Linked DNA regions of Cricetulus griseus. The protein of the gene in region 1 purifies or fractionates together with the protein of each later gene. This does not show direct contact. Links are inferred from orthologs where the notes say so. Each region holds a gene or a part of one and is shown in the gene's direction. Other genes may lie near its edges. The genes, in order: Hnrnph2 and Plod1.

Region 1 (4,145 bases):
GATCTCTGAAAGTTCACGGCCAGCATGGTCTACAGAGAGAGTTCCAGGACAGCTAGGACTGTTCCACAAAGAAACCCTGTCTCAAAAAAAATACCCATAATGTTTTTGTCAAGTCCTGCTGCAGATTCCACTTTTTTATTTAGGCAGATCACATTTTTTTCCTTACCTCTACTGCTATTTTAGTGAATCTCTTGTCATATCTCTAAGAGGTCATTCTTTAATTTGCTCTTTTGCTCTTTTCATCCAGTCCCCCTTCCTTCTGTTTGAATGCTCCAGTTGCCTGGGTGATAAGTCTGAAAGGGCTGTAATGACATCACTCCTGTTTAAGATCCGTAAAAGGTGCTATATATATAGATATGTATGTATATATATATATATATATTCCCCTCTCCACACCCAGCATCAGAACGGTAAAGTCCCAATGTCTTAAGGTTTGGGGGAGGCACATGTCACACAGTGTTGTGAATACTGAATCATCATGCTTGTGAACCAGAGAAGAGTCTAGCCTCCTATTAAATCAGACCCTCAGGATCTCATCTCTTTTTGACAGCCCTGTCCTTTGCTTTTTGTCCCCTTCCATTTCGTGCTCCATTAAACATTTTTATAAACTGTTTCTGGATCCCTGAACAGGATCAGAATAGTTTGTGTCAATTAACCATTCTGCCTCCAATTGATAACACTTCATCAATCAGTCCTTCCTTTATTTTATCTGTTTGCACTTTCCTTTGGTAAAGGCATACAGTTCTCCTGTAGGACTGTAAGCCCTTTCTGGACTCATTGATTCTTACATGTCAGAATGAGTACTAGACCTGACATCTAAAGCATGCTTGCATATGTAAAGTCCCATTAATGTTTTCAATGTTTTTTTTCCCATTTATCTCTTAGGCATTAATAGTTCTGTATTTTACTGATTTGCATGCATTGTTTATATTCTTGGGATATTAATGGACTTGTATCTTATGAATTTTGTCTTTTGATTTAAAGAAATTTTTGATTTTTATATAATGAGATATAGTTATATTTTATTTATTTTTAATTTTAATTTTCTCTATGATGTTAATGCATTGGGCCAGTGCAGAAAATTTAAAATATTCAAAAAATGTCTTAATATTTTCCATGTATATGTTCATGGAAACAAGTCCTATTGTACTGCTACCCAGAAATAATCATTATTAATTATACCTGATACATAATAGAAATGGAATGAGTAATTGTTAAGTGAGTGAATTAAGTTTTATGCAGTCTTTTTGTTAATGTGGCTATCTTTTTAAAAAGTAACTGATGTGAACTTCTATAATAATAGTTTTCTTTGTTTCTCTTATTGTGTATAATTTTTCATGACAATAGTTTTCTAATTTTTTTAAAGCCACATTGAAATTGCGTTGAGCCAAGCTTGCCACCAAGAGCCCAACAGTCACCATGATGCTGAGCACAGAGGGCAGGGAGGGGTTCGTGGTGAAGGTCAGGGGCCTACCCTGGTCCTGCTCAGCTGAGGAAGTGATGCGCTTCTTCTCTGATTGCAAAATCCAAAATGGTACATCAGGTGTTCGTTTCATCTACACCAGAGAAGGCAGACCAAGTGGTGAAGCATTTGTCGAACTTGAATCTGAAGATGAAGTAAAATTGGCTTTAAAGAAAGACAGAGAAACCATGGGACACAGATATGTTGAAGTATTCAAGTCCAACAGTGTTGAAATGGATTGGGTGTTAAAGCATACAGGTCCAAATAGTCCTGATACTGCCAATGATGGTTTTGTACGGCTTAGAGGACTCCCATTTGGCTGTAGCAAGGAAGAAATTGTTCAGTTCTTTTCAGGGTTGGAAATTGTGCCAAATGGGATGACACTGCCAGTGGACTTTCAGGGGAGAAGCACAGGGGAGGCTTTCGTGCAGTTTGCTTCACAGGAGATAGCTGAAAAGGCCTTAAAGAAACACAAGGAAAGAATAGGGCACAGGTACATTGAAATCTTCAAGAGTAGCAGAGCTGAAGTCCGAACTCACTATGATCCCCCTCGAAAGCTTATGACTATGCAGCGCCCGGGTCCTTATGATAGGCCAGGGGCTGGAAGAGGGTATAATAGCATTGGTAGAGGAGCTGGATTTGAAAGAATGAGGCGGGGTGCCTATGGTGGAGGCTATGGAGGCTATGATGACTATGGAGGCTATAATGACGGGTATGGCTTTGGGTCTGATAGATTTGGGAGAGACCTAAACTACTGTTTCTCAGGAATGTCTGATCATAGATATGGAGATGGTGGGTCCAGTTTCCAGAGCACCACAGGGCACTGTGTACACATGAGGGGGTTACCATACAGAGCCACTGAGAATGATATTTACAATTTTTTCTCACCTCTTAATCCCATGAGAGTACACATTGAAATAGGACCCGATGGCAGAGTTACAGGTGAGGCAGATGTCGAGTTTGCTACTCATGAAGATGCTGTGGCAGCTATGGCAAAAGATAAAGCTAATATGCAGCATAGATATGTGGAGCTCTTCTTGAATTCTACTGCAGGGACAAGTGGAGGAGCTTACGATCATAGCTACGTAGAACTGTTTTTGAATTCTACAGCAGGGGCAAGCGGTGGTGCTTATGGCAGCCAGATGATGGGAGGGATGGGTTTATCTAACCAGTCTAGTTATGGAGGTCCTGCCAGCCAGCAGCTGAGTGGTGGTTATGGTGGTGGTTATGGTGGTCAGAGCAGTATGAGTGGATATGACCAAGTTCTTCAGGAAAACTCAAGTGACTATCAGTCAAACCTTGCTTAGGGAAAGAAGGAACACCAAACAGCTCCAGGAATAAAAGCTGTGCATTTATAGGAACTGGATAGAGTAGGAAGGATACCAAGCATATCCAGTATGATTGGTAAATGGGAAATAAAGTTGCTTCTGATCACTATCGGTCAGCTTTCTTTCTTTTTTTTTTCTCCTTTTTTTAAGAACAAAATTTAAGTTTAACAGTTTTGCATTACAAGCTTGTGATTCATGCTTACTGTAAAGTAAAAGTTAAGATTGTTTTCAAACTTTAAGCTCAGCAGTTTTGAACACTGAAATATTCATCTAGGATGTAATAACAAGTTCAGTATTGACCATAACTGTTAAATCCACTTTCAGCTTTCCTCAAGTTAGTTATGTTGTAGGAGTGTACTTAAGCAGTAAGCATATTTAGGTTTAAAGCAGTTTCACTTACGTTAAATGTTGCTCTTATACCACAATACATCAAAGCCTTCAGATGCATGTTGAGAAACATGCTTTTCTGTAAAAATCAAATATAGGAGCTGTGTCTATGATTCAAAGTGACAACATTTGGCATGTTTGTTAATTCTAGCTTTTTGGTTTAATATCCTGTAAGGCACGTGAGTGTACACTTTCACTTTTTTTTTTTTTAAAAAGATCTGGGATAATTTTGAGATGTAGTACCAATACTTTAGGAGTTTGGTCATGTTGTTTGTATGGAATTCTGAGGCTTTGATTTAAATCTTACCTTGTATTGTGAATTCCATTTAGATGTATTGTACTAAGTGAAACTTGTTAAATAAATCTTCCTTTTAAAAACTGGACAAATCTTGTATAGTTTGATTTTTCTTAAATCATGTTCTGTTACATGGGCACATGGTAACTAACTTTTTAAAAGTTCTCTGCAGTGGGAATGCAAATTTTCAGTTTCCTTTTTTTTGAGACAAGGTCTCTAATATTCCAGGCTGTGAATGACCTTTAAATTCTGCTCCTCCTGCCTCTACCTCCTAAGTATTGGAATTTCAGTCATGTGGCACTGTTTCCAGTTTATGCCTTGGTGGGGAGCAAACCCACACCTTCTTGCATGCAAGACAGCCACTATACCAACAGGGCGACATCCAAAGCCTAAATTTGGATTTATTTATTTATTTATTTGTTTTGTGTGTGTGTGTGTGTGTGTGTGTGTGTGTGTGTGTTCAAATGAATGTGTACACACATGTAAATGAGTGTTGGTAGAAGCCAGAGAAAAACATTGGGTACCCTGTTCTATTGCTCTCTGCCATATTGTCCTGATAACAGGTCTCTCACTGAGCCTGCAGCTAGGCTGGCAGTCAGTAAGTTCCAGTGATCCCCGTGTCTCTGCTGCCCACAGCACTGGGGTTACATGTGTATGAGTACGACTGGCTTTC
Region 2 (3,813 bases), on another chromosome or scaffold:
ACAACAACAAAAAGAGTGTGGCTGTGACCTGTGTATGGTGGTGCAGTTCTGTAATCACAGCCCTTGGGAGGCTGAGGCTGGAGGATTTTGTTCTCTTGGCTTTAACTCCTGTTGTCCAGTGGTAGGGGAAGGGGAAGGTCTTACCTGCCTGCCGATGGCCTGCCTGGGATTTGGAGGGAGTTGTTGTTGTTTTTTCTCAGGGGGGTATGTTCTGTTCACCTAGGTAAATGGGAGTCCTGAATAGTGGGCCTGTCCCCCAACCTCCAAGGGCAGAAGTCTGAGTGGCATTCATAGGTTTTGACAGTGGGAAAGGGAAGGGTACTATGATTACTGGCCCTGGGATTCTGGCAAGAAGCCAGCAGCAAGACTCAGGCTGAAGAGGAGCATACACAATCCAAAGAATGAGCCCGCCTCTGGCTGCACAGAACCATGAATCCTGGGCAAGGCATTCCCCTCGCTAGTCAGCCCCACTGACTCCTGTCAGTGTGTGCCAAGTGCCTAGCAGCCCTGAAGGCAGGCACTTTATTGGCCCTATCGCATGAGTCTCAGAGGGGCCAGGGACTTGCCCTGGGTCACAGTTTGCAAGAGGCAGTGCAGGGGTCTAACCAGGCAGGCCAGCTTCTGGTCCCCACTTCTCAGACATCACAGCCTCCCAGTGGGGTCTAGAGGGGCCTCTGGGGGCTCTCACCCACAGATGAAGTCGTGGGAGCTGCTTCTAGCACGTTCTGCTGCAGAGGTGAAGTCACACTGCAGAGCCTGGAGAGGTCCCTTGTTGAGAATGTATTAACAAAGCCAGGCTTGTTGAGTGTGGCAGTGCATGCCTGCACCCTCTGCATTTGGGAGAGGGGACAGGAAGATCAATAGAGAAGGTCAAGGGGAGCTTTGTTACCCATTGAGCTGGATATGGGGCTGGGTTACATGAGACCCCTTTTCAAAATGAGAGGGAGGAAGACAGGGAAGCTAGAACCAGCTGCTCTGGCCACAGACACTGACGGGTGAGGGGATTTCAAGCCGGTTTCCACCCCCAGGCAGCCTGAACTGTAATCATGGCATTGGGAGAGTCAGCCATGCACGCAGGCTTGGGGAAGAGCACAGTGAATGAGTGTGTCCGCCCTCAGTGTACGCATAGAGAGCAAGTGGCCTCATGAACTCTGCACTTGCCTTCCCCGCTCTAATGCCCAGCACTGGCCAGAGAGATCCCCCATGCTCAGCACTCAGGACCTCTCCCTCCATCCCCAGGTGATGCCTGCAGCCTCTAAAGCCAGAGACTTGGTTTCAGAAGGCAGGGTGCAGACGCCCTCTTCTGGGTGCTGCCTGAATACAAGGAGCCCAGGGAATGTCCCAGCTCTGTCCTTAACCCACTGGATGGCCCTGGGCAGAGCCTGAGCCCTAGTCTGTAGTGGTGTGATGACGAAGGCCTCTGTTCAAGACTCATCCTTCTCTGTCCACAGACAACCTTTTGGTCCTCACTGTGGCCACCAAAGAGACAGAGGGCTTCCGCCGCTTCAAGCGTTCAGCCCAGTTCTTCAACTACAAGATTCAGGTGAGGGCTTCCTGGGAAAAGGAGAGACAGTGTGTGTGTGTGTGTGTGTGTGTGTGTGTGTGTGTGTGTGTGTGTGTGTGTGTGTGTATGTGTGTGTGCACGCATGCGCGCCTTGTGAGTGTGTGGTGTTGGGGGATCTAGGGCTTCTCCTTCCCAAAGTCAGGGCTCTTGGAACAGACTCGGGTGCCAAGAGGAGAATGAGTTAGGGTGAAGGGCAGAGTGTGAGCAGGTTTTTGGAGGTGAGAGGGAGAATGGTGTGGAGTGGTACCTGGATGGTCTTGGAAGGTTAGTGTGAATGGTAGGGCCTGGGGACCAACATTCCCACAATCCCCTGGGGCATGTTGGAATGGATGTGGTCTGAAGTCCCCCGGAGAGTGTACACCGTCACAAAGAAACATGTCTGTCTGCCGGGCGTGGGTTCCGTGTCCTCTGTTGGCAGCTCATGGGGCCCAGCCCTGCAGGAGTCAGCCCTCCTTCCCTTCAGCGGACCATTCTGAGCACTTGTCTGTCAGGCACAGTGTTGGGCCCTGGGGACAGAGATGTACTCAACGCCGGCCTCAATATGGCCTACACAGAGCTAGGTGTGAAGCCAGGCAGAAAGCTATCAGCTGCTGTGGATCGTAACGAAGCAGGGAGTTGCTTCAGACAGCTGGATCCAGGGTCCCAAGCAGCAAAGAGTTTCATTTTTCTGTCTCCAGAGACAGATTTTCTCCATCGTGGTAAGGTGCCCCAGACTTCTGCACCCCAACTTTGCAACCTTAGCCCATCGTAACAACCTTGCCTTCATTTTGATACAACAGCCCCAGGGAAGACTTTGATAGGGGGTGTTACATCTTCAAAGCTCGAGCTACAGGAGGGGCAGAGGAATGGGAGGTAGTGATTGGCTATCCCTGGTCACGTGACCACCACTGGCACCATCATCATCACCCGGTATGGTTTCCCTACATTGGGTTGAAAGGAAGCAAAGATGTCCACTCCCCAAACTGGTGGAAGAATATTTCTCTACCAAAAGCTGGGGGCCTCTCTCTGCAGGCCCTGGGCTTGGGGGAGGACTGGAGCGTGGACAGTGGACCCTCGGCAGGCGGAGGACAGAAGGTTCGGCTGCTGAAGAAGGCGCTGGAAAAGCATGCGCACAAGGAAGACCTGGTTATTCTCTTCACTGACAGGTGGGTGTGCTGGGAACTCCTGCTTGCATCCCTGGAGTACAGGGTGGTGTTAGGGGCAGGGGGTCCAAAAAAGACCTGGACATTATGTGTAAGGGAGGCTCCCTCTAACTAAGCTTATCCAAGGTCAGGAGACCCCAGGATGAGTCTCTCTGATGTAGGCCAATACTCCTCTTGGTGAAAGATGGGAGGTGTAAGCTGCCGGAGATGACACATGAGCCATGTGTCATATGACAAGGGCATGCGTTATGGGGACAGTGTCTCTGCCCAGCGTAGGAAACGCAGCAGACTGAGGGAGGGGCTCCTGATCCCTGTGTCCTTCAGTGGGTGCCCTCTTTGGACCCTGCTTCACCTTCTCCCCGCTTTGGCCACAGTTACGATGTGGTGTTTGCCTCGGGGCCCCGGGAACTCTTAAAGAAGTTCCAGCAGGCCAAGAGCCGGGTGGTCTTCTCAGCTGAGGAACTCATCTACCCCGACCGGAGGCTGGAGGCTAAGTATCCGACGGTGTCTGATGGCAAGCGGTTCCTGGGCTCCGGAGGTAAGAGCTATGTGCAGATGTGCACATCGCTGTGAGACATGGGTTCCAAATGCACACAGTCTCAAAGACAGCCTCTCAGGGATGGATGTCTTCCTCGCTTTGTTGAAGAGCCAGCCGTCTGTGCGGGAGAAGCTCAGTCACCCTGACTCCTTCACCTTCCAAATCTCTTCCTCTTCCCAAAGATCTCTAGAGTCCAGTAGCCCAGGCTGGGCTACATGACACTGTGTGTCAAAAAATTTTATTAAAAAGACAGGACTAAAACAAAACAACAACAACAACAACAATGAAAAACCAGGGCTAATGAAATTGCCCAGTGGGCATAAACCTCTTGCCATCAAGCCTGACAATGTGTTTGAACCTTAGACCCACATGACGGAAGGAGAGAAGCAACTCCTGCAAGTTGTCCTCTGACCTACACACACACACACACACACACACACACACACACACACACACACACACACACACACACACGTACACACACACACACACAACTCCCTCACACATACACACACACACACACACACACACACACACACGTACAACTCCCTCACACATACACACACACT

What was found.
Region 2: the proteins of Hnrnph2 (region 1) and Plod1 purify together in Homo sapiens (affinity purification with mass spectrometry; 3 studies listed by BioGRID and IntAct, counting the BioPlex papers as one, with this or other methods). This does not show direct contact. The link is inferred for Cricetulus griseus from reciprocal best matches to the Homo sapiens genes HNRNPH2 and PLOD1.

What each region holds. Positions count from the first base shown.
Region 1 is NC_048604.1:45,490,494-45,494,638, reverse strand, and holds the end of Hnrnph2 (heterogeneous nuclear ribonucleoprotein H2), read left to right. Parts: intron 1-247; 5' UTR 248-339; intron 340-400; exon of another isoform or gene 401-501; intron 502-1,366; 5' UTR 1,367-1,419; coding exon 1,420-2,769; 3' UTR 2,770-3,560; downstream 3,561-4,145. UniProt on the Homo sapiens protein: This protein is a component of the heterogeneous nuclear ribonucleoprotein (hnRNP) complexes which provide the substrate for the processing events that pre-mRNAs undergo before becoming functional, translatable mRNAs in the cytoplasm. Binds poly(RG).
Region 2 is NC_048595.1:8,532,886-8,536,698, forward strand, and holds part of Plod1 (procollagen-lysine,2-oxoglutarate 5-dioxygenase 1), read left to right. Parts: intron 1-1,451; coding exon 1,452-1,543; intron 1,544-2,575; coding exon 2,576-2,709; intron 2,710-3,080; coding exon 3,081-3,244; intron 3,245-3,813. UniProt on the Homo sapiens protein: Part of a complex composed of PLOD1, P3H3 and P3H4 that catalyzes hydroxylation of lysine residues in collagen alpha chains and is required for normal assembly and cross-linkling of collagen fibrils.